Caenorhabditis elegans: one gene and its partner. The protein of the gene in region 2 purifies or fractionates together with the protein of the main gene of each other region. This does not show direct contact. Each region holds a gene or a part of one and is shown on either strand. Other genes may lie near its edges. The genes, in order: Y37E11B.5 and T26G10.1.

Evidence for each region.
Region 1: the proteins of T26G10.1 (region 2) and Y37E11B.5 fractionate together in Caenorhabditis elegans (co-fractionation; one large-scale study listed by BioGRID). This does not show direct contact.

What each region holds. Positions count from the first base shown.
Region 1 is NC_003282.8:3,593,459-3,610,453, reverse strand, and holds Y37E11B.5 (tRNA-dihydrouridine(47) synthase [NAD(P)(+)]), read left to right. Parts: upstream 1-11,901; 5' UTR 11,902-11,907; coding exon 11,908-11,976; intron 11,977-12,024; coding exon 12,025-12,101; intron 12,102-12,270; coding exon 12,271-12,354; intron 12,355-12,994; coding exon 12,995-13,523; intron 13,524-13,995; coding exon 13,996-14,278; intron 14,279-14,947; coding exon 14,948-15,275; intron 15,276-15,898; coding exon 15,899-16,193; 3' UTR 16,194-16,495; downstream 16,496-16,995. Other genes in the region: ltah-1.2 (Peptidase M1 leukotriene A4 hydrolase/aminopeptidase C-terminal domain-containing protein), read left to right, coding at 213-772, 824-928, 978-1,119; kgb-2 (Stress-activated protein kinase JNK), read right to left, coding at 1,443-1,450, 1,831-1,932, 1,979-2,239, 2,308-2,473, 2,527-2,611, 2,979-3,094, 3,136-3,265, 3,485-3,576 and 1 more; Y37E11B.10 (BRCT domain-containing protein), read left to right, coding at 4,812-4,832, 4,883-5,049, 5,104-5,210, 5,254-5,486, 5,538-6,058, 6,245-6,494, 6,549-6,671, 6,719-6,874; Y37E11B.7 (Neuropeptide-Like Protein), read left to right, coding at 10,418-10,457, 10,512-10,669, 10,728-10,847; Y37E11B.6 (Zf-AD domain-containing protein), read left to right, coding at 11,215-11,335, 11,387-11,532, 11,594-11,737; taf-2 (Transcription initiation factor TFIID subunit 2), read left to right, coding at 16,855-16,995.
Region 2 is NC_003281.10:9,399,668-9,414,291, forward strand, and holds T26G10.1 (Putative ATP-dependent RNA helicase T26G10.1), read right to left. Parts: upstream 6,975-14,624; 5' UTR 6,974-6,974; coding exon 6,898-6,973; intron 6,851-6,897; coding exon 5,970-6,850; intron 5,909-5,969; coding exon 5,659-5,908; intron 5,199-5,658; coding exon 4,936-5,198; 3' UTR 4,817-4,935; downstream 1-4,816. Other genes in the region: rgr-1 (Mediator of RNA polymerase II transcription subunit 14), read left to right, coding at 450-514, 558-668, 3,414-3,533, 3,590-3,657, 4,067-4,422, 4,469-4,692; nlp-48 (Neuropeptide-Like Protein), read right to left, coding at 978-1,011, 1,056-1,144, 1,317-1,400; T26G10.3 (Small ribosomal subunit protein eS24), read right to left, coding at 13,452-13,595, 13,642-13,773. UniProt on the Caenorhabditis elegans protein: Probable ATP-dependent RNA helicase which may be involved in ribosome biogenesis.

The DNA of each region.
Region 1 (16,995 bases), on a different chromosome or scaffold from region 2:
GATAGCTCTGTAACCTTATGGGAAGGCCAGTAACACCTCTCTTCCTAAAAAATAAACTTTGAAAGGCATGTTCCAAGCTGATAAGACCAGCATTTTTTGTATTTTGCTTCTCCGAATCACCCCATCATTTCACACCGTATTTCGAACCGCATAGATAAGAAGCTTATCACACCAAGTCAGGCTTCCTTGAAGACAAAGTTCGAATCTTACAGGTCTATGAGCAATTCACGCCTACTCACCAGTTCACAAAGCTCATTCAAGACCATACAAACGTCGATCCAGACGTTGCATTCTCGTGTGTTCCCTATGAAAAAGGATCAGCACTGCTCTTCTACCTTGAGCAGAAGCTCGGAGGAAGTGAGATCTTTGAGGCTTACCTTAAAGATTATCTCAAGACGTTCGCACATCAGGCGATTGATAGTTGGCAGTGGAAGGATCATTTGTATAAGTACTTTGCGGATCAGAAAGAGGTTCTTGATACAGTAAACTTTGATTTATGGTTCAATGGAGTTGGTATGCCACCAGAGAAGCCTAACTATGGGCAGTCGATGGTTGAAGCTTGTGAGGTCCTTCTGAAGAAGTGGCTTGCCGCCGATGAAAGCACTGTTGGGGACATTACGTCTGAAGATTATTATGCTATGCAGCCCCTTCAACAGATTGAGCTGCTATCCCAGCTGTGGCAGCACGACCCTCCAATTGAGCACTACAAATTGGATGCTTTGAACAAGCTGTACAAGTTGAACGATTCGCAGAACTCTGAGCTATTGTTGAAGTGAGTTTCAGCCTGCTGGACATCTAAATTCAATGAGCTAATCATTTTCAGCTGGCTCCGATTGTGCATCAAATCCAAATGGGAAGAGTGTATCCCGAAGGCGCTGGACTTTGTCAACTCTCAAGGCCGCCTCAAGTTCTGCAGGCCGATTTACAGGTAAGGACAAGCTCAAAAGCATCAAAAATTTTCACTTCTATAATTCCAGAGACCTCGCTCAATGGCCGATTGCCAACAAAAAAGCCCGTGACGTCTACCTCAAGGGACGTAGCCAAATGCATCCGATCACCGCCGAAATGATCGCCAAGGACCTTCACATTCGTCACTCGACTCACACAGTTTGCTTCTAAGCTTTCCCTGATTTTATTTTGTACATTCCCACCACCCACGTACTTGTGAGCTTGTAGGTCTTTCCCCTTTTCCCCTGATTTTCGTTAAATTGTGGTTAAATAAACTTGTTTTTTTTTAAGTTTATTAGAAACAGATTTTTGCAGCTAAACAGAAGAAACATAATTTTTTTGAGAAAGCAAAGATTTCTTATTCATTGAAAATGTCGTGATCGGTTTGATAGCCTTGCACTTCGTTGAAAATGAGCCGTTTCCATTCAATAAGAGTCCAATCGTCAATGTCATTAACCTCATCGTCCGGAATTTCTGATGCGGGGGCGTTTACTTCATCGTCCTGTAAAATTATTAAATGTAAAATCATTAGCAAACCTTCTTGTCATTATTTTTTGAATCTGTTGTCTTTTTGGGGCGATTTTCGGGCAGTTTTTCATGGTTTTTTTTTGCCGCTCTTTGAGATGTCTCATTTTGCGTTTTTTGTTATTTTCTTTTTCTGAATTCTTGATTTTTTTTTACTTATTTTTCTCTCTTTCTCCTCATTCCTTCTCGTCCTAAGCCTAATCCTAAGCCTAATCCTAAGCCTAAGCCTAATCCTAAGCCTAAGCCTAATCCTAATCCTAAGTTTAAGCCTAAGCCTAATCCTGAGCCAAAGCCTGAGCCTATGCCTAAGCCTAAGCCTTTAAATAAGTTTACTGACAAAGCGTTAAAATTTCGTACCTTGAACCATAGTATATGGATGATTAAGTGCATCTTCAACTGAATACCGTTCTTCAGGATTGATTTTCAACATATTGAACAGGAGATCACGAGCCATGTGTACTGAAAGTATCATTTCTTCTTCAAAATTCTGTATAGCCCGACTCACGTGTCAAATGATCCTTCGGGTTCTCAGTCTCCGGCAGAAAATTGGAATCCGGAACTATTTCATTGAAAGCACGTGCTAGATGTTGTGGCAACGATCGAACATACACAGCGCCTATTGGTTCTAATTGATTAATGAAATGATCGTCTGGTGTTCTTAATACACTAGAAATTTGTGTCCATTGATCACGTATATCTTTGCCCGGGAAAAGAACGGTATGGTTGATCATTTCAGCAAGTATACATCCGACTGACCAAATGTCTACTGAAATTATGAATTTAGAGTTTTAGAGTTACTGTACATATAATTTGTGTTAGTCCAAAATTACAAACCTTTTTCCGAATAGTTCAGACCCAAAATAACCTCGGGGGCTCTGTAGTATCTTGTCCCCACATAATCTGACATTCTCATGTCCACGTTGCGTCTTCTTGCCAATCCGAAGTCTAAGACTTTTAACACACAACGTTCGTTCACGACAATATTCGATGGTTTTAAGTCCTAAAATTTTGAAATTTTGAGAATGTTGTCTATAGTGGTGTACATAGACGTACACGATGAATGAATCCCAAATTGTGAAGGTGCTTGATTGCGCACAAACTCTGGTAGACCAAGAATGATAATGTTTCATGATCCAATCTGATAATGCATATAGTTATTTTTCAATTGCCGATATTCAATTGATTGTCAATTGACGAAAAGTTAGAGCATTGTCAGTGGGGATTTAGTTTAAATATGTTTATAGTCTCCAACCTTCAATCTCCAACTCAGCCAACTCAACCAACCAGCTCAACCAACAACAAATCTCAACCAACAAAATCCAAATCCAATCTCCAACTCTCCAACCCCGTCAATTTTTTTTTGCTATTTTTTCTAACTTTTGTCTTTTTTGAGAAAAAATAATATTTTACGTATATTAGTCTTGGACCTGGGAATTTATTAACAAGTCCATCATATACATTTTAAAGTACGCCTAATCATAAAAATCAGCCATCATGCCTCTTACCTTAATCGATGTATCACCTCGTGTAGATTGTGTGTCATAAATTCCATAACCAGATATACCTCTTGAAACGATGAAAGTGAAGTATCCGGTGTGAAAGCGTTTAGCAGACGGATTATCTGAAATTTTTAGCATTTCCTAGATTTCAAATAATTCTTACATTTGGGTGTTTCAGAGTCGTTAGCAGTATAAATTCTCGATATGCTCGCCTTGCACTCATTGTCAACAGAAATGGTTGTTGCATCTTCTTGATTGCTACGCGTTGTGTTGTCACTAGGTCATCGGCCATTCTAAATGTAAGCAAAAAAAATGAAACACTCACTTCAAATTTGATCCATTCTAGTTTCTACTGTTAACCGCGAACACGGAGTTCTGGATTCCCTCATATTTTGAAATGTAAGATTTTGCGGCCATTTGGGCTCGTCGACGGCCGTGTCCACTTACGTTGGGTGGCGCGCCGTGGCTCAGTGATGTTCTATGATATAAACATAAACATAGCTTAAACTCACACGACAATCCCCTGAGCGCCGACATTCAAAAATTTAAGGTTGACATAACGGGTTGGAATAGTGAAAGTAATGCCCGCGCCGGCTATCGGGTCCTGAAAACGAGTTTCAATTATGATATAATATATGAATACAAACCGTAATAGTAACTTGATGAAATTTGGAAGGTAAATTCATCTTGTTGCGTCTGTAAAATCATTAGTATCAGGGAGAAAAATAATATTATTGTACTCGGCATTTACATATATATTTGCATGTTAAATATAAACGCGTTGACGGTAATTTAGAATTCAAAAAGCGTAATTAGACAAAAAAAATGTGCCTTTGAAAAAGAGAGACTCTAACTAACTAGTAAGATTGTTGTAAAATGATTGTTGAATGAAGATTGAAAAGTATGATTTCCAATTTGAAACTACAGAAAAAATCTATAAATATTTCATAATAGTTTGCTTATCATTAAAAAATGTTTTCAATTTTCCTCAAGCAGGAACTGATAAAAATTGTTTAGTTGCATGAAAACTGACAACTCATTTCAACCCACATAGAAATTAATAATTCTATAAGACGGAGAATGAAAAATGATATTAAAGGTACGCGCCAGTGAGGATTTTATTTAAATACACTTATCCAAAACAACCAAATATCATAATAAAACACTAAAAAAAAATGTTAGATGTTTCATAATTTTCGGTCAAAGTTTTGGCAGATTGCCAAATTTTTGAAAAATATGAGCTTTTGAGGAAATCCAACGCAATGTCGCATGTTGCGACCCCTACAATGTTTTAATACAAATAATTAAAACAAAATTAAAATATAAAAAATGTAGGAAAACAATTTTTTGGTCTACTTCCAAAATTATGAGTGGCAAAAACTGAGTAATTGCCACTTTTTGACGGGAAATAAAGTTACTGTATGTTTTCATTTAACCCATAATTATGAAAAAAACGTTTTTTTTAAACAAACTTTTTTCAGAATAGTAGACCAAAAATAACCTCGGGGACTCTGTAAAAAATCCGAAATTTCAAATTTTTTGAACACACAACTATTGTTCACGACATGAAGTTTAATAGTAAGTGTTTTTATATTTTTAAACAAAAACATTTTACGTGAACATTTTCTTTCTAAAAAAAAATTTTTTTTAACATAAGTAAATTTGTTTTAAAAAATATTTTGAAAATAAAGAAAATGTTTCCCGTGAACTTTTTTCCCAACAAGATACTTTTAAAAAAGTATAAACAAAAAAATCAGAAGTGTCAAAAAATCAATAAAATTGATTCATTTTGCAAGATCAACTTGTAGCAATCTCGACGTTTCCATCAGGATAACAATTATGAGCAAGTCGTCTAAATCGGTAAGTACGGTTGCTTCAGATCACATTGCAGAAGCCAATGATCCTTCCAGCAAAGCCAATCGAAAGCTTCATCAAGTGACGGAGCTGTGTGCCCGCCAACGGCTTGCTCCACCAGTCTCCTCACCGCCGAACAGCTCACCGATCCTCCACAAATCCCGACGGCCTTGTCCAACTCGGTCAACACTGCGATTGGTGGAACTCCATCCGACTTTGAGTCGTAAGTAACTTCCTAGAAGAATGCTGTGAACTAACAAAACTAAATTGATTTCAGGAACTCCGGGCTATCTGACACCTCGGCAGGATCGGGCCGCGCCAACTCGGCCGTTTCCGAGACGACCACAGCAATGTCGGCGACGTCTCCGGAGATTATTATGAATGGTAAGACGATGCATGTGTGCTCTAATGCAGAGAACCTTTACAGATCTTCGAAAAGGAAGCCTGTTTGGCCGACAGAAAGGGAGTCTGGCTACCACGGATGGAGGGCCCCAGAGTGTTACTATCATTACTTTCTCGAACAATGTGAGTACGGCGGCTGTGGCCAGCAGTTTCGAATTTTTCCAGACTAACATGTCAACTGCTTCCCAGCCCACCAGCCTCGATGACAAATCCCAAAAGTCGCAGAAAACTGGATCAATGAAGACTGGAATTCCGATGGTAGGCATTCGCTTTCTACAAATTTCTTGTCTATAACTAGATTTCTTTCAGAGATCGCCTGGATCTTCCATGGCTGGCAAAGGTGCGATGTCTCGTAAAAAGTCGCCGAAAAAGCAGATGGATGCTCTGAAGAAAGAGCAAGTGCCGGCTGCTCCGGATTTCTCAAAAAAATCCAAAAAATCTAAGAAATCGAAGAAGTCGAAAAAGGCCAGAGTTGCGAGAAAACCCAGAATGCCCAAGAGTTCTGTAGATTCTACCAGCTCTTCAGACGAATCAGGAAAATCGGCAAAATCTGCGAAATCTACAAAAATGGCCAAGAAATTGGTTTGTCCGGCTCCTCCTATGAATGCGGACTTCTCGAAAAAGTCGACAAAATCTGGAAAATCTGCGAAAATCGCGAAGAAAGTTGCTGCTCCGGTGGCTCCAGCAGTGGATGGAGACTTTTCCAAAAAGTCGAAAAAATCAGTGGCCAAAAAGTCCGAGGCACCGCCGGCTTTTGGACAATCTGGAGTTGTGAAGAAGGGGGACAAGCAAAAGCAGAACGATAGTGTATACTTCCCAGGTGTCAATAAGTGAGTTACTTTGAATATAGCCGGAGTAGGGGTCCCAGCTGAGTGAGGCGTGAGTGACGCCATGAGGCCGGCGCGGCGACCGCTGAGGCCGGCGCAGGCGCGGATGCGGCGACCTCAAGGGAGCCTTAAGCCGGAGAATATTGGAACTACCCTATCAATGTAGCATCTATAATTCTAAAATTTCAGCCCTTCTACTGCCAAGTTCGGAAAATCAGCTAGCTGTAAGCCTGGTCAAGCCTCGACCTACAATTTCCCGGGTGCCGGAAAATGCGCCCGTCGTATGGATGAGGTGGCTCCACCGACTCCAAAATTGAATGCAGGCGACGCAAGCCACTGTGTCTACAATGTTGCTCAACTTCCACCGGCTCAGCGACGCATGCCACCTCCGATTGCTACTGGAGCTCCAAAGTCGCTTTTCGGGACTCGTAAGGCCAAGGTGAGTGACATTAGAATCTAGATTTTGATTAAATATCACTATTTGTGATTTCAGACAGCTCCGAATCCGGTTCCAGCTCCTCATGTCATGAGCAACACTGTTGCTCCGACTGCTCCAAATGCTTCAACCAGAAACAAGATCGTCGTCTTTGGCACCACGCCTGATGGAAAGTCAACGGTAGCTTTGATATACGTTGAAAATTTGGAACTTTTCCAAATTTCCAGATCCAAATGACAATCGACATGAAGGTGGTGGCCGGGGAAATGCTCAAAGGCTCGGATCAGCCGGTGGACTTGGTCCCCAAGAAGGTCGTGGTTGCCGGACAGGAAATCACAGTTGATTCCAAGTCGAAGAACGAAAAAAATGAAATGCCCCTTTGAATGAGTGTGAACCAATAAAAGTGATGCTTCAAAATATGATTTCATTCTCTACATCGTTAAATTTGTTTTTAAATTTTCAGAAATTTCACGTGAAAAAACTCAGAAAAAAATAACAGAAGGTTAAAAAATCGATAAAATTCATTCATTTTGTGGCAAGCTCGAAGTTTCCATAACAAATATGAGCAAGTCGTCTAAATCGGTAAGTACTGGTGCTACAAGTCTGAGCAGAAGCTCAGCACCTTTCAGCAAAGCCAATCAAAAGGTTTATCAAGTACGGGATCTGTATGTACTACAACTGACGGATCCGATTTTGAGTCGTAAGTAACTTTCTAGAAAAATTCTGGGAATTCATGAGAATAAATTGATTTTAGAAATTCCGGGCTTATGAGCACCTCAGCCGGATCAAGCGGAGCCGCTGCCTCCGAGCCGACCACAGCGAAATCGCTGACGTACTCGGAGACTATGAATGGTAGGGCGCTGCAAATTCACTCTACACTGGCAATGTAGTGACAGAAACTATTTAGATCTTCGAAAGGGAAGCCTATTTGGCCGACAGAAAGAGAGCCTGGCGACCACGGATGGGGGACCCCAAGTAAGTGGATCGGCTCGGCAGCTTCAAAAACGTTTTTCAGCCCTCAAGCCTCGATGACAAATCCCAACAGTTCAAGAATCCAATTGAGTCAGATAAACCAGGACCGTCTACGGAACCTGGGAGATCAGCGAAAATTGAGCAGGAAGCTCCGGCTCCGACTTTGAAAAAATCCGAGACACCGCCGGCTTTTGGACTCTCTGGAGTTGTGAAGAAGGTGCCTAGTGTCTATTTCCCAATTTTCAATAAGTGAGTTATTTTGGTTATAACTCTGCCAAAGTTAGTTGGCAACTCTTCGATATCTTGTTTTTCTGACGAGTGCAACTATTATTTGCAACTATTATAACTCCGCAACAAGTGGGGATAGAAACAAGTACTCAAATAACAAAATGTAGACCTTGAAATTTTCTATATTAAATTAATTAACAATTTTCGGCCATGTCATCCGCTAAGGAGTTAATAACGTTTTAAGATTGGGTGTCAAAATTCCAGGCTTCCTCCCAAGCCTCCGGGAAACAGAAGAGGCACCGGCAGTATGAATTCCGTGGCTCCGCCGACTCAGAAAATCAATGCACCTCACATTGTCTACGATGTTGCTCAGCTTTCTCCGGCTCAACGACGCATGCCACCGCCGGCTCCGATTGCTGCAGAAACGACAAAGGCCAATGTGAGTTGATAGATTCGAATTGAATATCACTGTTTGTAATTTCAGAAAGCAGCTTTGGCTCCGGCTCCAGTTCCAGCTCCGCTTCCAGATGCAGCTCCTCAAAGCGCAGACAAAAAGTTCCCGGGTACCGGACAACGCCTCGGCAGTAATGTGGCTCCATTACATTGAAGTCATTGAAGACCACTGCACCGCAGATTGTTAACAATGTTGCTCAGCTTCCACCGCATCGCCGACGCCTGGCGTACTCGGCTCCGAAGTCGCTCTACAGGTATCGCAAGGAGCCAGATGCTTGGGCTCCAGCTCCGATTCCAGGTGCAGCTCCCCAGGTCATCAACATAACTGCAGCTGCTCCGACTGCCCCGACTGCTCCAACTGGCAACAAGATCGTTATCGTTGGCACCACGCCTGATGGGAAGACAACGGTATTAGTTTCGGGAAATTTTCTCTCGAAAGTTCTAATTTTTCCAAATTTCCAGATCCAAATGACGCTCGACTTTAAGATGGTCAAAGGGTCGCAACAGGTCACCCTGGTGCCCAAGAAGGTTGTGGTTGCCGGAAAGACGAAGAACGACAAAAAACCCCTCTGAGTGCGTGTGAACTTGTAATAAAATTACTGCATTAAACTTCGATGATTTCTATCTCTCATTTCCTCCCGTACAGAATCATCTTTCAAAGACCAACGTGTTGATGACGACGGCGACTAGTGGACTGTCCTTCTATGAACCTTATTGTTGGAGTCGAAAATAGTCGGTGGAAGAGAGAGGGTCGAGGAAATCGTATTTTCTGCACTGAAGGTAGATCAGAAGTTCAGAGCTAGAAAAATAGAAAATAAATAGACGTGATGAGGATTTTTAAATAGATAATGTTGTCATGTTCTCGAAAACATCGAAAACATCGAAAATTCCAGTATTTGAGGTCATTAAATTTTCTTGTAGTTTATGTAACCGTATTTTTTTTCCTGTAGAAATCGTGGCGAGACCAACTTACTTAGAAAAACAGAGTATACCTTTAAAGGGAATTGTCAAATTTTACGGAATTGATGGCATATAATTGATGTTAACAAAATCATATTAACTTATTTTTGTTGCAAAAAGCTTCAATTTTAATAGATGTTTGCTTATATACACTCCGACTCAGCCGTGTGTCGATTTACGTAGCTCGTGTACTCCTCGAGGGGAAGGGCTTTAAAATTTTAGCTTGAAACTCCTGGTTTTGTGCCATTTTCGCAGATTTTTTTTCGCAGCTTACGTTTATATTTCTAACAGAAAATCTTATTGTCAGGAAAAACTCTTTGAAACCAAGAATTGCAGTTTTTCTCATTTTCCACTTAAAAATCGGCAAAATTGTATTACGTGAACACCAGACTTTGTGAATGCGTATTGGACACCAAATTTGACTTGCAATATATCTCGTAGCGAGAACTACAGTAACCCTTTTAAAAGACTATTGTAGCGCTGGAGTCGATTTACGGTATCTCGATTTTCGATATGGATACAGCGATATTCAATATTCTTAATTTTTCGTAATGTTTTGTAATTTTTTTATTGTTTTCTTTTGATATTTTTTTCGATTAAAAATTGAGTTCTGTAAATCGACACAAGCACTACAGTAGTAGTTTAAAGAGTTACTGTAGTTTTCGCTATAAGATATTTTGCGCGTCCAATATGATGCGCAATACGCATTGTTAGAATTTTGTGTTCCCGAAATAGTTTCCGGGGCATAAATTTTTGGAATTTTGACACTTTGGCAGTAAATCAGTGTAAAATTGGCGTTTTGCGAAAGGGAAAATCGTTGGATAACACGGTTTTTTCCTCAAAACTCTGCCGAAATTGAAAAATTTTTGTGATTTTCCAGCTTTACAGCAAGAAATTGTGGGTTTTCCAAATTGGCGATTTCACTTATTAATTTTTAAAAACTGTATTTATATCCCTTTTCCTCGGGGAGTACACAATCTGCGTAAATCAACACTAGGCCGTGTTTGAGGCCAAAAATGGCTTCATGAGGCCATTCTTCTATGATTTCTAGTTGAGAACAAAAGAAAATCGTTAAAAAATATTAATTTAGTTTTTTTTATAACGACACTTGTTAATAATTCTCGTTATCTTCGAAGAAATTTTCACTTTCTCTCCCATTAAGATCGCTTATTGGGGGGAGTGTTTACTGTAACTTTTTCTCTTTTTTGTTCGGTCGTTATTTTCCCATCATCTTTTATCATCACCTCCCTCACGTCATAGCCGTATATAAACAAGATTTCGTCAGACCAATTACTTTTTTTTTTGAAAATAAAATGAACATTTTGATATTATTGCTGCTTATGCTCATTGGAGGTAGGATTTTCTTTCTTTCTGGTATTCCCTGAAATTTGAAGTTTTTTATTCCAGAATCCGTTTCTCTGACTATGCTCGGATTGACACGTGGCTCCCGAGTTGGCGCTGCTGACGACGACCCTCCATATTTCCCGGAAGAAGACGATTTCCCGAGAGCTAGAAGCCGCGTGCCGACCTACGAACAAGCTATCGGGACAGTTGCTGGAAAAGCTGTAAGTTGAGAGCTTTCAAAGCTACATAAATTAATTTATAATTTGAAAAAAATTGCAGCTCCCGGCCCGTCGGTGGGAGGAATTGGAGCCAACTCATCGGCAAATTCTTGGGGCTCCGCTGAGAAGACGCCCACTTATTTCCAGAGTTTTGGGTCGTGGTGGTGGACTTCACAACTGAATTTTTGTTAATTTTTGCATGTATTTTACTATAGATCTCGTTTTTCTTGTTGATATGCGCTGGGAATAAATTAATATTTTTCTTGTTCCAGCAGCTTTTCTACATTAAATTTTCGATCGAAAGCCGGAAATAAACGGAAATCGATACTTTTCGAATAAATTTACTGAAAAAAAACTTCAAAAACCAGCTGAAAATGTCTAACAACAAACAATTGTCTCTGATGAATTCTGAAAAAAATCCAATATATAAAATTAATGCAAGCGCGCCCTACCTAACACCGACGAAAGAGTGTGCAAAATGCAGAGACGCAGACATTGCAAACAATATTTAAATTCTGTTTTCCGTCGATTTTCTTCCCAAAACCGCTATGGGCCGCAGCAAAAAAGGAGAAAATAAGAATAATAATGGAAAAAAGAATGTGAAAAACAAGTTGGGCTATGCGCGAGCCGAACATCTCCATCGATGTGCGATTTTTCTGTCAAAACTCGGTAAATTTTCAGTTTTACTCAATTTTCTAATCAATTTTCCCCGATTTTCAGGCTCCAAAAACAACGACGGATTCTCCAAAACGAGCCGGCACGTTTCAAAGCTCTGCCGACAGGTTATGGACACGGAAATGGTGCATTTGGACTGCGAGCAGAAGCAGCAATTTTGCAAAATTTGCCGGGAGGTTCTCGTCGGAAATGTAAGCTTTTCTCATGATTTTTTTTTTAAAATTAATTTCTGTTAATTTATCGATTTTTCAGTACGAAAAAACCGAAATCTCTGTGAAACAACGCGGATCTGTCACCGAGAAGTGCGGAAATTGCCACAAAGAGCGGAATTACATGACGAAAGCCGGATACGGAGAGACGCTCAAGGAAAAGCTGGAAAAGCTGAAAAAACAATAATTAAACTAATTGTTTTAGGTGTTTTACGGGTATTTTATGCAGATAAATTGTTATTTTTTGCTTTAAATTCATTTTTCCCTACTTTTTTCGGTTAGAAATCCGATTTTTTACTTATTTTCCCCCATTTTTCCAGAATTTTCCTCAAAAATTCCCCATTTTTCCAGGGTAAAATGACAGAGCCAATGCCAGATTCTCGGGATATCAACGTAGCGCCCATCAAGGAGCAATACATCCTTCCAGTAAGCGCCGGCTGACTGAAAACGCTGAAATTTAGCTGAAAATTTCAGAAAGAGGACCACGAACTGCCGGCCGAGGTTCAGGCGCTGCCGAAACGGGAACGACGTGGAATGAACAAGACTAGGAGGTGAAAAATCTGAAAATAAAATTTATTTCTTGTGAAAATTTTGAGAATGTGCGTGAAATTGGCTGGAAAACCCCACGAAAAGCCAGTTTTCCGCGCTGTCTCAAATTTTTCAGCTAAAAAAACTAATTTTTAATGAAAAATGTTGGAAAAACCGCCAAAATTTCTGCAGAAAGGACATGAAACACGCGGAAACTCGAATTCGCGCCGCCGCCGTCCGTCTCTGCCCGTCTGTAATTCAACCAGTGGCTTGCAAGTGAGTTTTATCACATTTTAGGGTAAAATTTTATATATATAAAATGTGCTCCAAATCGGAGTTTGATACGTTTAACGCACTTTTCTGAGTCAAAAACCGGCGAAAATGAGCTTTTTCCTAACGAAAACTGCTGAAGTTCACCAGAAAAAGCTAACTTTCAGCAGTTTTTGAATGGAAAAAGCCCTGAAAATACGATTTTCAGCCAAAAAACTTTTTTTTTTTCCAAATTCCAATAAAAAAATGCATTAAAATTCGATTTTCACCGAGAAAGTCAAGTTTAAGTCGAAAAACAGCTGTTTCAATCCCGAAATTGAAATTTTAAATGCAAAAAATTCAGTCAAAAAACCGCATTTTTACGCCAAAAAGCGTAGATTTTCGTATATAAATTATTTTAAAACTTCAAAATTTTTATAAAAAATCGCTGATTTTCAGTGTAAAATTCGTCAAAATATCAGAAAATTTTAAAATTTAAGCATAAAAATGGACTTTCAGCAGTTTTTGAATCGAAAATCACCAAAAATAGCTAACTTTTAACCGAAATATCGAAATTTTAGTTTAAAAAAATCAAAATTTCCATAGAAAAATCTATTCTTTTTTATCTTTTCCAAATTTCCGCCTAAAAATCAATGTTTTCTTCCAGATTCGGCGAAAAATGCAACTGTGAGCACGACATTTCGGCGTTTCTTGCCAAAAAACCTGCTGACATCGGCGTAGCGTGTCCCCTCTACGATGCTCGCGGAGCATGTCCATTCAGCTATGCTTGTCGTTTCGGCGGAGCTCATCTCGACGAAGCCGGTCAGCAATCTGAAAAATCACCGGAGAAGCCGTACGAGCCCACCACAAATTGTCATTCGATGAAAATTCAAGTGGCTCTGCGCAAGCGAGAATATGATTTTGAAAAGACGGAAAAAGCACTGGAAGCGATTAAAAATGAGAATTTCGAGGTTCTCGAGCTGAGCCTGAGCACTGTCGGAGCCATGTGTCGGGAGAAGAAGCCGCTCAATATGGGCTCACTTGATGGGAAAAAGTATCTGGCTCCGTTGACCACTGTGGGAAATCTCCCGTTTCGAAGAATTTGCGTTGATTATGGAGCTGATATCACGTGTGGAGAAATGGCTCTGGCTACTAGTATACTGTCGGGCACTGCGTCGGAGTATAGTCTGCTTAAGGTAGAAATTGGGCGATTTTTGAGATGAAAACAAAGTTTTACTGCAAAAAATGAGCCTGAAAACCTCTGAAAATGGGATTTTATTTTTTCGAATGGTCAACATATACATATCGATAATTTCAGAGATTTTTGAAATTTTTTTTAGCTAAAAATGAAGTAAAAAAGCTAAAAATTTGAAAAATTTGAAAAAAAGTAGTTTTCGATATTTTTTTTTGCAAAAAATCAAAAATTATCCACTTTTTCCTAAAAATAAATACCTATAAATTTACGAAAAATTTGGAGTTTTTTGAACATTTTCAGTGAAAATCTAAAATTTTCGCCAAAATTAAAAAATTTCTGAAGAAATTTGAATACCCGCCAAAATTTTTCTAAAATTATCGAAAAATTCGCTAATTTTTCCTGAAAAATACCTAGAAGCTATCGAAAAATTTCCAGATTTTTAAAATTTTTTTACTCAAAATTTGAATTTCCAGCGTCACCCGTGCGAGAAGATCTTCGGTGTTCAACTGGCCGGTGGATTCGCTGATACAATGGCAAAAGCTTCACAAATCGTCGTTGAAAACTTCGACGTTGACTTCATCGACATCAATATGGGCTGCCCAATTGATGTTGTTAATCAAAAAGGAGGTGGTTGTGCTCTTCCGAGCCGTCCTCAGAAGCTCTTTGAAGTGCTCGCCGCCACGAAAAGTGTCCTTGGCGGGTGCTGTCCGTTGACGGTGAAAATTCGAACTGGAATGAAGGAAGGAGTGCTCAAAGGTGCAGATTTGGAGCTGAAAATCTTTAAAAAAATCTGCCCAAAAAAATCACATTTCTCTAAAAAAAAATCTAAAAAATTCAATTTTTGTATACAATTAACTGAAAATTTGTATTTTCCGTTAAAAATTAACCGAAAATGGGCTAAATTTCGAATTTTCTGCCAGAATTGGCAAAAAAATTCAATAATATTGAAGTTTTCGATTTTTTGATAATTTTAAAATTATAAAAAATTCAAAATTCTCGCCAAAATTTTTTTCTTCAAATTTCTCTTTAATTTACCTGAAATTTTGAATTTCTCGCCTCAAATAGACTGAAAAACCATATTTTCCGCAATAAGAATTGACTGAAATTCGGAATTTCTCTCTGAAAGTTGACGGAAAGTCTGAAATTGAAAAAAAACACCTATTTTCAGCTAAAAATAAAAAATTTACCTAAAAACTAAAATTTTCAAGTCAAGATTCGTATAAACATCGAATTTCTAGTCAAAAATTAAAAAAAAAATTGAAATAAAGAAAAACTTTCAATTTCAATTTTTTCATGCAAAAATTTCAGAAAAAAATCGATTTTTCAACCGAAAAATGTCAAAAAAAATTCAATTTTCCCGTCTCAAAATTACCTAAAAATTCGATTTTCCCACTGAAAAATGTCGAAAATTCACATTTTTTTCAGCGCCCGAATACGTGGAGCACATGAAAAAGCACTCATGGCATACACCTGACCTCATCACATTCCACCCACGGAGCAAAGAGCAACGATACACACGGCTCGCCAATTGGGATTTCACATTTCCAGTTCAAGAAGCTACAAAACCTGTTCCCTTATGGGTTTGTGGAGATATTCTGAGCTGGGAAGACTATTACGAGCGGCTGGAGCAATATCCAGTTAATGGAATTATGATTGGACGTGGAGCACTCATTAAACCATGGATTTTCACTGAAATTGATGAGAGACGGACTTGGGATATTAGTTCAACTGAGAGATTTGATTTACTCAAAAAGTATGGAAATTTGGAGATTTTTGAACTTGAAATTCGAAAAAATGGCTTAAAATTGACCAGAAATCTATAAAAATTGGAAAATAAAATGCAGAAATTGGAGACTTCCGGAGATTTCTAGCTGAAAATTCGAGAAAATGACTGGAAAATAAGCCTAAAACATAAGAAAAATTGGAAAAAATCTATAATTTGCAATTAAACTCCTGAAAATTCATGAAAATTCGGTAGAACTGCCCTTTTTAGCTGAAAATTCCAAAAAAAAAGTGGCCCGAAAATCACGATGTTTCTGAATTTTTTAAACGTTAAGTTCGTAAAATTTCACACAAAATTTCTAGTTTTTAAATCGCAAAATTTGCAACAGAAAAACTTTTAAAAATCAGAAGTTTCCGAATTTTGACGTTTATTTCCGCGAAAAAATCTCAATTTTCGATCGATTTTCCCGCTCAAAAATGGGTTTTTCAATCGATAAAATCAGTAAAAACTATTTTCTTTTCAGATTTTAAGAAATTTTTCTCATTTTTATTAGAATTTTAGTAAAAGAAAAGTCAATTTTCATCGAATTTTCGGTTTAAAAAAACCAATTTTATCAGATTTTCTTCAAATTTTCTAAAAAAAAAAATTTCCAGATTCGTCGACTACGGTCTCGACCACTGGGGATCCGATGATGCAGGCGTCGAACGTACCCGTCGATTCCTTCTCGAGTTTCTATCATTCCAGTGCCGCTACATCCCTGTCGGAATCCTTGAACGACTTCCCCAACGGATCAACGATCGCCCACCAAGATTCTGCGGTCGAAATGAGCTTGAAACGTTGCTCTCCTCACAAAAAGCCGACGATTGGATCGAAATTTCGACTCGGCTGCTGGGACCGACGCCGGAAGGATTTCAGTTTATTCCGAAGCACAAGGCTAGCTCGTATTAAAATAAAATTTGGAGAATATTCATGAAAATTGGCGTTTTTTGATCAAAACTCCGAATAGAAAATGCCGTTTTTCTACCAAAAATATATGAAAATGCTATTTTTTTAATGAATTTTTTTGTATTTTCGGTCGAAAAATTTTGATATCTGCTCATTTGTTGAGAATTTCTGCTCGAAAAATGTCAAAAAAATGTCGAAAATTTCGCAAAAATCCAATTTTTCACCATTTTTTCTAGTTTTTGTTCTGTTTCGTTCCTGTTTTTAATATTTTGTTAGTTTTTTTTTCTTATAAAATTGTTGATTTTACCCATTTTTTTCCACAAAATTTTGTTTTTTCTATCGGTTTTCTCACCGTTTTCATATTTTAATCCATTTTTTCACAATATTTCAGATATTTCGCCTTTTTTTAAAGTGTTTTCCTCTGAAAATTAGTGCAATTTTGACTGTTTTTTTTATTGAAAAAAAATCAAATTTTTGGACCTAAAAACGTAAATCATGTATTTCTCACCAAAAAATCTAATTTTCAAAGGAAAACTTATGAAATACTGGTTTTTAACTATGATATTCCTAATTTTTCACTTGAAAATCGTAAAATTTCTCCATTTTCAGTCAATTTTTTCCCCAGAAATTTCTCTTCTTTTTTTTTTCAGATTTTCACCTAAAAATGGATTTTTCGGAAGCTTCAACGTCAGGCGATCGAGTCAACGGGTTTGCCAAACCATTTCCACCAAAACCACGAGAAGGAGCTCCACCACCGGCTCCCCCACTTGCTCCAGGAGCATCAACTTCTCAAGCTCCACCACCA
Region 2 (14,624 bases):
AAAAAAAAAAATATTTTCCAGATGCGATTTTTTGCCCTAAAATTACTGTATTTGGTCTCGAAGCGACTGAGTTTAGTTCGAATAAAATGAATGTGCGCCTCTTAAGGGTACTGTAGTTGTTTTTAGTAATCAAATTTTTGGAAAAAGTGGAGGAATGCTACGGAAATTCTATGGAAATTCCGAGTTAGCGACTACAGTACTCCATAAAAGCGCACGCCTTCTGAATTTAAGAATATTGGTTGCCCTGTTCGCAACCAGGTACCGTATTTTTGGAGCGAAAATTGTAAAGTTTCGCGTTTAGTTAATAATATTCATATTTTTCTAAATTAATTCCGGTACAGGAAAGGAAATAATAATTATTATGCATTAATCTTTAAAAACGAGAGTTTAGAATATTAATATCCCCACAAAAAGTGCGATATTTACTTATTCAATATTAATATTTTCAGAAGAAGGAACGAACAGCGCAGCAACTGCGGATAACCTCAAAACATTGACTACATACTTTGAGAAGGTATCAATTAAAATCTGAAGATGTTCAAGTACTTTTTATTTAGGTTGTATTCCCTTGCGGCGACGAATATGCACTTCAATCGTACATCTGTTTGACCCGTTTGACATCATTCGAAGCCACTCAAAGCATCGCAAATCTAATGAATGTTCAAATGGTAAGTTCTTACATAGGCCCCAGGGCTGAATCCGGAAAATTTCGAAAAAATAATTGTTCGCCATTTTTCTCCAAAAACATGAATTGAACAAAAAATGATAAAAACAAAAAATGTTTTTCGCTTAATTGTTCAACAAAAAAACGCAAATTAAATTTTAATTTCACATCCCTGATAGCTCTGCTGTCATAAGTAGGATAACAAATTTCACGATTTATTCGAAAAAACAATAGAAAAGAGAGCGAGAATGTGAATTGAGTGTGACAATAAATTAGTGGTGAGAATAGAAAAAAGAAAATGTAAATTCGAAGTTTAGTAATCAACTACCTCATTGCTTCGGATTTTTCTGAAAATTTATCATTATTTTGTGACGTTATCTTTGTATCTTACTTGAATAGTCCATAGAATTGGTTGCGTTTTCCCATCATTCTGAACGGCGAGAAGAACATTGAAGGAACGTCTCCAACTCCACGGATGTTCTGAAATTTTCCCGGAATGTTTTTGTAAAACTTTGAAGTACCTCCTCAAGTTCTTCTTTGATTCTATCAACAATTACATCAAGTTCCCCTACGGTCCTTTTTGAAACATACAGAGAATACGCGGCGCCAAACATCATTTGTTTAAATATTCGAAAAAAGAAAAGAAACTAACCCTTGGTGCATAAGCCGTGGAATATGCACAAAGTGCGATGGTGATGAGCAAAAGTGTGTAGACAATCCTTCTCGACGACATCATTTTCTGAAGGAAACCAGAAAATAAATTAAAATAATAAAATATTCTCGAATTGACACAACAAGAGAAAACTAGTAGAAATCATGAAATAATAGGGGCGGGATTTTTCGGGAGGAGGGTGTTCACGGATGGATGCGAATTGAAGAAGAAGACGAATACTATACACCAATACCAAATAGAAATTCCTTTTTTCGCCGTAGACTACAAAATGAGTGGGTCCCTGTGACTTGAGAATTGAGCCGGAAATGCAAAATGCTTCCTTCAATAACAATGGCGCCGATTTTTTTTTTCGAAATTGTAAAATGACTAAAAAGCAGACTCGTGGATTTTAATATTAAAGTATCGTCCACATTTTTGGAATTGAAAAAAAACCACACAAATTAGTCTAATTAACTGGTAATATACCTGCATAGTTATACGAAAGTTTCTGAAAACTAAAAATTCGCGTAAAATTGTAGCAAAATTGGTTGGACTCAACTGACTCAAGTGAGTCAACTGAAAAAAACGTTTCTTTTCGGCGATTTTTTTTTCAAATTTAAATTTAGTTTAAACTTTTTGTACTATCATTTTAGAGATATTAACACTCAATATGGAATTCTCGTAATTTTTTGAAAGTCCACATTGTTTGGAAATTAAGCAATTTACCAAAATCTGAAACAATTTTGAGCTTATTCATAATATGATTCACAAAATTCCACAAAACCACTTGTTTTCGAATAATATAATTTTGATATTTTTCTTCTTCTTCGATGTGAAAATTTCGCGATATAAGTCACGTCACGAAATAATTAGAACCAGCTTTTTTGAGAATTATTTGGTCAAGACGAGAAGTTCTGCAGAATTTTGAGAAACCGAGAATCGAAAAAAAATATTTGAAAAAAAAAACGAAATCCAAACGTCACAAGGATGAAAATAAGAAATAATAAAACCCAATTAACCGTGTATTGAACTTTCTTTTTGCAACTGAATATAAATCTGAGAGCCCGTGCAGATGTCACAAAATTCTCTATTCATCCGTAGAATATATAATAAATATTGAAAATCTAGTCACACGATTGGAGGAGTGGTAGGTCTAAATCGGGAGGTCCTCCTGAAGACCTTACTATGACGTGTATTTTTTTTTCGAAAAAAAAAAGTGGATGATCATAAGACCAAGAGGGGGACAGCCAAGAATAAACGAAGTGTTTTGAGCAAAACGCTAAAAATATTTTAAGGACCCCCTCTGGGTTTTTAATTCTTGAAATTTTATAGAATATGTGAACATGGTGCACCAAAGAACTTATTGCAAAAAAAATTTTCATAATAAAAGAGCACCGCCAGTCAGAATTATAATTTGAGAAGCGCTAGATAAAAACAATGAACTTGTTTTTTTGGATTATCAGGAAAACAAAAGTGATGAATTCTTGTTTCACACTTTCAAGATCTCGGGAACAATGTGAGTCAACCAAGTCATGTGTGACGTGAATATCGGAAGCAGAATGCTACAAGAATGCAAAAGAAAGGTGTAGGAGTTAGTGTTCAAAGCACAAAATCTCGTCTTTCGGGGATGTGTGAATGAAATACGTCAGTCTGGATAGTGAAAGTGATTATTTGAGATTTTCGTACAAAAAATGTATTCTACTCAAAACGACCCTAAAAGAAAATGTTTTTAACAAGACTTTTCAAAAAAAATTTGAAATTCCTAATAATGGTAATGTGTGTTGTTGATGAAATTGCGAAATTGAAACAGTGATTGAATAAAATGTGGGTTAATTTTTTTGTTTTGGAAAAGTCTTGATATTTTTTTGGTCCATTTTGAGTTTATTATAGCGTCCTTTTAGTTAGAAAGACTTCGACTTTACAAGGATGAATATAAAAGCTTTGCACATTTTACTAGGAAAACGTAATTTCCCTTTTCGGATACACCCCCAGAAGCGGAAATCACGAATCTTATGGATAAGTTCATGTCCATTAAGAGATCAAATACTGAATATTTAAAGTCAACAAACGGAAGTATTTATCTTTTAAAAGTTTCAGGAGCATCCACCCACGTCGAAATGCTGTGTTCAACTATCTCTCACTTATAACAACACATCGACCAAGAAGCTGGCGCCGGCGACGAAAGTGGATCAACCATTGCAGAATATTATTTTCAATGTATGGAAGACTGTTATTTTCTTGCCTGGCTCTCTTCAAAAAATTCAAATTTTCAGGTTATCGTCAGTCAAAGTCGTACTTCAGAATCATTTAGTGTTCTTCGATTTATCTATAGAATTAAAGAGTAAGTTCTTGTACTTTAAAGTGGAGCTGCGAGTGAATTTTGCTTCAAAATTACCAAAATAGCAGGGGGAAAAATCGAAAATGAATAATAATCCAACTTCTAAAGAGAATTTTCAATTTTTCCAAATTTCCACTTTTGAATTCGTTCCAAACTGAAAACGGAAAGACCAATCAGCGATCTGCCCCGCCTACTTACACCGTCTGATTGGTTGAAGAATGGGCGGAGCGAATCGCTGATTGATATTGCAGTTCTCATTTTGTTCAGACAGAGAGAGCTTTCTCGATTTTCTTTTTGTTGCTTTGTGGTATTTCTGAATTTCAGATTATTTTGGATATTTTAACGCAAAATCACCATTCAATAAATTTACTTTTTCAAAGGACCTCCCATTTTTAATTAAATCAAATTTCAGAAACTTTGTGGTTGTTCCATCAGCTAATGAAAAGAACAAACAAATGGCAGATGAAGTAAACGCTGAAACAAAGACTTCTGGGGGAAATCCAATTTGGAATCTGGTGCGTCTCGTTATGGATCGATTCAACTCGGGCGACTGGAATCCTGGAAACCGAGATGAACCTATCATTTCGAGTGTTGCTCCGCCGACATACGTTAACCCTGGATCAGTAGCTGGACCGAGCTCGGTGGCCGCGCCCGGATCAGTTTCAATACAACAACCTGGATCAGTTCTGCAACCAGGTTCAATGATGGGTCCTCAATCTGTAAATGCTCTTCAATATGGGATGCATCGGCAACCAATGGGTGGTCCACGTGAGTTGTTCCTCCAAGATCCATATTTCAGTACTTTAACTTCCAGAATCAATGCAAATGAATCCATCAAGCGTCGGACAACCTGGCAGTGTAGGAGGTCCTGGAAGCCATCAACAGCACATGATGAATCCGGGAAGCGTCGGACCTGGAAGCGTTGGTGGACCAGGAAGTGTGAATCCTGGAAGTGTAGGATATCCACAATGGAATCCACCATCAGTTGGCCAATCATATCATCATCCTCTCCACCATCAGCAATATCCACCTCAATAATTGACACTGAAATTCTGTAAATTACACACAACACTCGGGTTATTCTGACTCTTTTTTTTTACCGGAGATGAATATCGAATATCTCCATTTTCTTTCCTCGTATTACTTAAAGTTAACTTATTTTCTCATTTCATACTTTTTATTTATTTTTGTAATAAAACTCAGTTTAAATCAAAACATAACAAGAATAACAACTGGACAACAAAATCAACAGAAAAGCCGAAATAACAATAAATGAGCAAATCATTTACTCATTTTCTTCTTTTTTCCACCTCGTCCACCACCACTGCCACCTCGACCTCCCATACTTTTGATTCCCATCTTAAATCTTCCACCACTCTCCTCAGTGTCTCCGAAATCATCATTTTGTCGTCGCTTCTTTCCAGATTTCTTCTTTTCGTCCATTTCTTTCATTTCAATTCTCGCGTTTTCTGTTGCTTCCTGTGTTCGTTCTACTAAAACCATAACCTCATTTTCGACGCATTTGTACTCATCCAGCTTTTTTCCTGTAAATAATTTAAATTGCAGGGCTTATTGCAATTTTAGGGAAATTTTCGCTGATTTAACTTCGAGAATTATTGAATTATTTATTTAAAGTAGAGGCTGAGCGAAGTTTTAGAAGAAATTTTGCAAGCTTTCGGTGCGGCTTGATTTATGTCGATTTACGAAGAAATTGTACTACACACGGAGAAGTGTGAATTTATTGTTTGCATGATCTTATTGATTTTGACAATAATTCTTGTTTTTGGACTATTCTTTCTAATTCTTTTTGCATGTAACATTTACAAAAGGAAACAAATTCTCTATAATAAGTATAATTAAATTGGTCATTTTGGATGTTAACTGGAAAAATTTCGCAAAATTGTCCGAAAACAAGAAATCTAGCTAAAATATGTGAAATAATTCGAAAATAAAATGATGACTTCGTAGCGCGATTTTAACAAGTCGGAAAATTCAAAATCTAACCTAAATTTGCTTCAATCTTCTGATAGGCTTCGACGTCATATTGTGTAACAACTGTAATTGCAATACCACTTCTTCCAGCACGAGCAGTTCTTCCAACACGATGAACGTAATCTTTCGATTGAGATGGCATATCATAATTGATGACCATGTCGACGTGTGGAATATCCAATCCACGAGCTGCCACATCGGTGCACACAAGGATCTCACGAGCTTTGCTTTTGAATTTGTTCAGTGATCCGAGACGTTTTTCCTGAACAATTTTTTGATGAAAAAAATTATAAATTAATGTGCCACATTTGCTCAACACATACCTGACTCATTTGTCCATGAAGAGGGACAGCCTGCATTCCAAGTTGACGAAGCATCACAGCAATCTGCATGGTTGTAGCACATGTGGCACAGAAGACAATTGCACTATTTCCGGCATGTTCGTTTAGCAGATACACAAGATATGTTTCCTTGTACTTATTTGGGACGAAGATGTAGTGTTGTTTCAGATTATCGACAGTTTTGTAGCGACTAGAAACAGAAACACGGGCCGGGTCTCGCAACGATGCTCGTTCCAACTTTGAAACTTTCTTGGTCATTGTGGCTGAGAACAAGTAGGTTCGACGTTCACGAGGAATTACTTTAAGAATCTTATCCAGCTCCACCTCAAAATCCATATTGAGAATACGATCGGCTTCATCCATAATTAAGAATTTCAATGCTTTCAAATTGAATCCTTTGGTATTCTCTAAATGATCAACCAGGCGTCCTGGAGTTGCAACGATAATGTGAGGTCTTCTTGCAAGAGCCATCGCTTGTGCAGCCATATCCACACCACCGACGATAACCGCAGCAATTAATCCAATTCCTGAGCCCAGAGCTTCAAATTGTTGGCCAATTTGGAATGCAAGTTCTCTTGTTGGAGTCAATACTAAACAGAAGAAAGCTTGAGGATGATCGAGAAGTGATTGTAAGACGGGAATTGCAAATGCGCCAGTCTTTCCTGATCCTGTTTCTGCGAGACCAATTACATCTTTTCCTTGTAGTGCGTGTGGAAGAGCAGCTTGTTGAATTTTTGACGGTTTCATCCATCCGAGTCGCTGACAAGCATCACATAGCGGCTGGGAGACACCAAGTTCGGCAAATGATTTCTCTTTCACATCTTCTTCATCGTCCTTTTCAATTTCTTCCGTAACTACTTTCTCTGAAGACAATTAACCAGTTATTTCAGTTAAAATTGAGAATACTTACTTTTAGTTAGGTTTTTCTTTCGGTTCCCGAGAAACTTTTGATTATCTTCTCCGTCAGAAGATGAAGAGTCTGACATTCTGAAATAAAAAAAAATTATCAATATGTGCAAAAAGAATTAACGGAAGCAAAGAAAAAACGTTTAAAAAAATAGAATTAAAATATAAGAGTAAAAATTCGAACTCTGCATTATGTCGTAGTTTCTGATGTTTGTGCAAACACTTCGTGTAGATTTACGAGATGCACGCAATCTGACGACACTTTCACTTCAGGCTGAAAAACAACCACCGCACAGCGCCTCAAATCGGGAGAGTTGTGAAAATCGAGAATTGGAAAGTCCAACGGAGCGCGCTTGCACACTTTTACGGTATTAAATAAATTTCAGACGAAATTTCGCGATTATTCGAGTTTTCAAGATGAAATTTGGAAAAAATAGTTAAATATTGGAATTATTATTGCTTTAAAACAGTTTTTAAAAACATTTTATTGAACAAATTCAAGATTTGGTTGATTTATCATTGATTTTCGAACCGATTAGAACAAGTTAACTCTATGACAAAATTTCTACGCGAAACAAATTTTTTCAAGCATTAATATGTTTGATTCCAATTTTTAAACGTCAGCTTGATAGAAATAACACGGTTTCAAGTCTTGAAATTGCTCAAAAATGCCCAAATCAACGGAAACTGTTTAGTTTGCAGTTGATCTTCACTAAACCAACACTAAATGTTCAGATCAAATCAAAACTTGTTTTATCATTTGAAAAAACATTTTTGAATCATTGTTTCCCACAAAAAGCAGATGATAAGTAGTATAGCATGATGAGAATCCATATGGTTCTTCATATGCGCATAGCTATAGATACTGTAACTTCGACAACTCCTATCTCCTCAGAGAGGCAAGATATCAAAAAGTGATTAACTAAGAAATTGTAGAACATATCAAAAACTATAATAATTAATTAAAATCATGTGTTTATCTTTTAAGATGAGGGAGTTAGAGCAGCCAGTAGAATAACAAAAAGTATGCAATACAAATGTAAGTCTAACTCCCCCATCTTGAAAGATAAAAACGTAGGTTAAATTGAATATCATAGTTTTTGATGTGCTCTACAAGTTTTTAGTTGATCACTTTTTGATATCTCGTCTCTCCGAGTAGATAGGAGTTGTCGAAGTTGAGGTATCTAGAGTCGTAGAGGGTAGGAAGAACCTGATGGTTCCTTATTAAGGAAATGAAAATACAACACGAAACTTGTAAAAAATGTTAATTTGATCATTTATGTAAGTATTTGAGCCATTTTTTTAAGGAAAATTGGAGAGCAACACTTACATAAGAAATTTGGCGTGTCATAGATCACTTGGTAGATTGGAACATTGAAATTTGATCAGAACTATTCGTATTTTTAGTGATTTTGATTGATTTGTAACTTTATTCTATTGAAATGTTTGATTTCATAAAAGTTTTTTAATCAATTTTGCAAGATTTTTCTTGATAAATGTTGCTTTACTTTTTTATCGATTTTGTTGTAAAGAAAAATCATTTTTCTGTGTTATCAGTCAAATTAATGACTAAAACTCTTTAAAAAGATTCAAACTATTCATAAAACATCTAAAGGCAAATATTTATGCAATAAATTGCTCTAAAATCAATTTTTATTTGCAAAATTCTGTTTTTCGTCAAAAAAAATTTTCAGATTCGTCGAAATTCAGAGCTCATTTCGAGCTTATTTGGAGAAAAATTTATGTTAAAATGAAGTAAATCGCATCGCAAACAGTCTCTGGGCCGGCCCGCTTGTTGAAAATTGCTTTAAAGTCCCTAAAATGCAGAGAAAACGCGATATTTTACTGTTTTGCTATACATTAATTCCAATTCGTGCGACGTCTGCAGCAAACGCGCTCCCGCGCCAAAACCACTTTTTTCGTTGTTCTCTCCCGATTTGAGGCGCTGTGAGTGGCGAAACTCGGAAATTGTCGGCCGCATTGGCGGCCTGAATAAAGAAGACGCGCTCGAAGAGCCGAATAAAGAAGGCGCGCTCGAAGAGCCGAGAAGAGAGATCAGCAACAACAACAGCTGCTGATGTTTTTGCTGATCTCTCTTCTCGGCTCTTCGAGCGCGTCTTCTTGCATTGGCGGCCTGAATAAATGACACATTTAGTTTTTGAACACAAATCGAATGCATTCACAGGTGATTCGCGAGTACGAGTTTTATGCTTCATCCGAAGTTCGCGCGTGCTTCGAATGGGTACTTGAAAACATGAGCAAAAATGGAGAACAATGCTCGTCTTTGCGAACGAACGCGAGCATAAAGGAAAACAATTTATGCTTCCTTTTTTTTTCAACCCCGCATTCCGGCATCCGCGCTTCCGCTCTTCATACTTTTCTCAATTAAAACTAAAAGACTGCTTAACAAATAATATTTATGACACAACAAGACATCAAACTAGTTCAAAAATCAAAAAAAAAAATGGGAGAACAACAAAAAGCTAGCTACAATGTGGGGGGGGGGGGGGAGGGAGAAAATTGGGAATAAAATAAAAAATAATTAAGCTCCAGTGTGATGATTATGATGAATTAGAGACGATTTCGGTGCAACTTTCGCGGCTACTTGACGAAGACGATTACGGCGAGCTGATTTTGGAGTTTCTCTGAAAAATAGTAGTTGGAACTATTCGAATATTTTTTAAACCAACCGGCTTCCACGTTTATCAATGACATCGTCCATTCTCGGCGGCTCTCCGATTCATCCAATTGGGGCTCCATAGCTGAAGAGTTTGAAGATGAGCAAGTCGCCTGCTCCTCATCGTCATCTCTGGAGTTTGGATGGGAGTGTCCTGTTGATTCTGAAAAATTCGATGTTAAAATTATGGGTTAAAAAACTGATTACGTGGACAAATTGAGCACCAATTTCCGATTGTCGGTCTTCAATTGCAGCATGGAAGCGAGCAGTCGGATGGCCACCGCTACCGCCGGTACTTCCGGTTCCCAAGCCAATTCCATGTCCTCCAATCCTTTGTATTCACCTGCAAAATATACATAATTCTTGCTGTTATGTTGAAATTGTTAATACCGTCTTGTCCTTTGTCGTCTGATGGTGCTTTGCAGCCACTGGTAAAAGCTCCCCGCGGTGGAGACAATACAGTGTGGGAACAGGATTACAGGTCGGACGAATCGACGCATCAACGTCGGAAATGCTGAAACACGAGTATATTTACGGAAAATAATTATTTTTGCCAAAAAAATCAAAGAATTGCTGAAGAAAAATATGAAAAATCGAAGAAAAAGAAAAAGAAATTGTGAAAAAATAATTTCGAAAATGAGGAGGATTTACGGTTAAGAGGGCGCGCAACCGTTATTTCGGAGTGTCGTTGCCTTCTGCGTTTGGAGCTTCTTTTGAAATGCTTTCTCGCTCTTATATTTAAAGTCGTAGAAAAGAAAAAAAATCACTTTGAGTCGTAAATGTGATTTGTGATTGAAACCAACAAATAATTGAAAAAAAATTGAGTTCAATTAAAATTTAATTAAAAATATTTTCCACTAATTTTAAAATTTTGATAAGGGTTCCCCCTTATGAAAAATTATGGAAAAAAATTTGTATTCCAAAAAATTTCAATACTGCTGGATTCTGTAGAAAATGTAAATTTTAGTATTTTCCACAGTTTTCATGGCTCAATCATACTCCTGGGCAAAAAAATTCAACAGTCAATTTGGCTTGTTTATTGAAAGTCAGTACTTCCAAAATGTTCTAGCTCCTCAGGCAGCTGAAATATGAAAAAATGTCAACTAGAAAGTTGTTAGGAATGAAGTGATTGACAAATGACTTATTGTAACTTTTTGTTATCTCCGATGGTTGAGCAGATAGGAGCACCTAATTATGAGTAAAATATCACTAATTTTGCCTGATGATATCTCCGTACTCTGCACACAAAGCGAGAAACTGTTAAACATGAAACATGTTCCATAACAACCTGAACAAGTGTGTAGTTAATAATTTTTTGATGTCTTGCTTGCCCGATGTGAGACATGACTTCGAAAAACTGGCATAGTAGGTAGATCAGTTAGAGGGATAGAGGTTTTTACAGTTTCTTAGTTTTTGAAAGCACCACATTCAGCAAGAAAGTACATATATACAATTAGGGAAACATATTTTTACAATATCTGATAAATATTTGACAACTTTTGAAAAAAAATTTTTTGGATTTTCTTGAAAAAAAAATCCAAAGGGTCCCCCCTTATGAAAATTTACAAAAATTTTTTCGAAATTTTTTTTTTGAAAACTTCTCAAATTTTTATTAGATGTTTTAGAAAATTGCAATGTTTGTTGTTTTTTTGAGTTTGGATGTTCAGCACACAAGCTTAGACAAAAACCGGAGGTATAGTAGAACCTCCCTCTTATGTTCAAAAATCGCATTCACTTTGGATGCTTATATCTTCGTGGAAAAAATTTTTATGGCAAAGTGATCAACTACAAAGTTGTTTATTTTAATTAAAAATACAACTTTGTAGTTGATCATTTTTTATCAAAAAAATTGGTGGTTGAGATAAAGTTGTGAGAAGTGCCGCAACTTCATTCTTGTATTTTCTTTCCATTTCTCTCTGTATATCTCAACCACCGAATTTTTTGATAAAAAACAATTAAATACAAAGTTGTACTTTAACTCAAGATAAACAACTTTGTAGTTAATCACTTTGTCATAATAATTTTTTCCACGGAGATATAAGCATTCGAAGTGATTGCCTTTTTTGAACTTAGAGGTTCTACTAAGCCTCAGGTGTTCGTCTGAAATCGTGTTCTGAACGTTCAAACTGAAAAAAAACAACCGACATCGCATTTTTCTAAAAGATCTGATCGTATTTTGAAAAGTTTTCAAAAAAAAATTTCGTAAAAATTTTTGAAAATTTTCATAAGGGGGGACCTTTGGATTTTTTTTCAATTTTTGCAAAAAAAAATTCAAAATTCTCGGAAAATTTTTTTTTTGAAAAAGTTGTAACAACTTTGAAATATTGAGAAAAGTACAAAAGTGATTATTTATGTAAATTTCAACGTCAAACTAGGCGTTTCCAACGAGAAAAACCTCCATTTCTTGAACTCTTCAACCACATACATAATTTCGTCTGAGATGTACATCTTTTCAGGATAGAAAGATATTAAAAAGCGATCAATTACCTAATTATTAAGCTTGAAATGATCTATTACAATTATAAAACATAAACGTTTTATCTTTGTTCATTATTTAGATATGATCACTGAAAATCAGTAATATTGGGCTCAAAACGAGAGGACTATAACTTTGAAGCAATGCGAGATAGGAAAAAAATGTCAATTAAAAATTTGTTATTCATTTCATTGTAAACAACTTTCAAGTTGACGACTTTTTTGTATTCCTGCTGCCAACGGAGAAAAACTGTGTTACAAGTAAGGTGTTCATTTGAAAAATCCAGGAAGATTTCGATATTTTTTGCTACAAGAACGTTATTGAGCGGTTAAAACTGTGAAACATGCTGAAATAATGTTTTTGCACAAAATTAAACACAATCAAAATTTTTTTGAAAAAAAAAGTTTCCACGAAAAAAAAATTTCATAAAGGGAGACCCTTATGATTTTCAAAGCGGATCATAAGGGGGGACCCTTTTGAATTTCAAAAATCCAAAAAAAAATTTTTTTTTTGAAAACTTGCTTTTAAATCATCAGATACAGTAGTAAATGATATTTACTCTATTTGTGTCAATTTAAACGTTAGATAAAACGTTTTTAGCTGAGAAAATGACTATTTATTGTAGGGTTCAAAAAATAGTATAGGTTTTTGAAGCTGTGAGCATCCTTGGGCATACAAGATATCAAAAAACGATCAACTACAAATTTGTTTAGCTAGTTATGGAAAATGTTTTAAAAATAAAAAATGTTTCCTATATGTTTAATGTGCCAAAATAGGGCTTGTCGAAGTCAGTGCTGTTTTGCTCTAATTCAACTGTGCCCATCTTCTCGAACATGCAAGATAGAAAAATATGGTCAACTAATAACTTGTTGTTCAGTTCATTTCTGACAACTTATCAGTTGAAAAAAGTTGTGTATTTTAAGTCTCAAGGAAGTTAGGAGCTCTCAAACATACGATGTTTCAATGACCCAACTCTAGACTTTTCATGATTTCTTGGCTGAACATTCATTGTGAACTCTCACACTTGTGAAAAATATCAAACTGATCATTTTCTACACGTTCAACATGTTTTCGAAAAAATTTTCAAAACAAAAAAATTTCATCAAAAATTTTATATCATAAGGGGGACCCTTATGATTTTCAAAATCTGACAAGTTCCTTCTAAATCAAAAGTTTTGTTTTTCAAAAACGTTAGTATCAGCAAAAAAACAGTCAATAAACAGAGAACTCAAACAAAAATAGCTTTAAACTAACCGAAATGAGCACTTTAATGATGGGAATAACGGCCAAACAAAATGCGCACATTGCGAGCGTTCGCATTGTGCCCTTTATGCTTGCCACTGTGGCGCACATTTTCGCAAACACGAGCATTGTGTGCGTCGAAGCATTTTGCTTACACTGCGAATCACCTGTGTTTATAACTCACTTCAGCTTTCCGATTGGCATACTTCTCAGAGTTGAGATGCCTCCTCTCGGCTTCCGGCATAGCATTATATGCTTCTTTGTGAGCGGCTGCATCCTTTCTCCGCTGCTCCACAGTCTTGGCAACCTGTAAGAAACAAATTCAAATAGAGAAATTAACTGGTTAAATCTACCTTATCATCTTGTGACAACGGCGTATTCTTTGCCATTGTGTCTGGATTGATATTATAAAAATTGGCGATCTTCTCACGGATATCCGCCTTTAGGGTAGTTGGGCGTCCTGGGAGGATCACTTCAGCTACCATGTACTTCACATGCAGCACAAATGTTCCAGGCAACAATCGAAATAATACTTGTGGTGTTGGCGTTGGTGCAGGTTCCGATTATGTTGTTTGGGAAACCATATTTTCTGTATCGCCGAGACAAGCAACAATCGAGATATAGCACTTTGACAGCAGAGTCACATCAACATCAGGTAAACAATTGGTGATGGGTAGTTTTTGCATGATTCTATTAGTTTTATTCTGCACTTTTTCCAATATTATTGAATCAACACCAACTTTATAGTCTAATATTTTTGAATTCAGAGTGTTCGTGCACCAGAATAGAATCTAAAACCAAGTGGAGGTCACGGACATGGACATGGTGATGGGCCACTTGAGATGGGGGATTTGATGGTCTACCAGGCTAGTCACACAATCGAATTTGTTCTTGGATGTGTGTCACATACAGCTTCATATCTTCTTTGGGCTCTTTCATTGGCTCATGCTCGTGAGTAAAGAAAATATCGTATTTCCTCTATTAGTTTTGCGCCTCCATTAGTTTTTCATCTAAAATCACTCATCGAAAATTAGTTTTGCCCCCCTTCATTTGTTCCCTATTTTTAGGAATTCAAAATTTGCATTATAAAATCGTTCTGAAAATTAGGAAAACTCTACAGACTTGATTTTAAAAAATCAAAATTGGCAAAATATGAGTACAACTCGGACAATTTTTGCGTCTCAGTCGTAAAATTCGTCCATTTTGGCTCTTTAGTTGTTATTATACATGCAAAAAATGAATTCACACTTGTCCGCGTGTAGTACAATTCCTTCGTAAATCGACACATGCCGCACCAAAAAGCTTGCAAATTAAAAAAAAGCACTTCAGTTAGCCT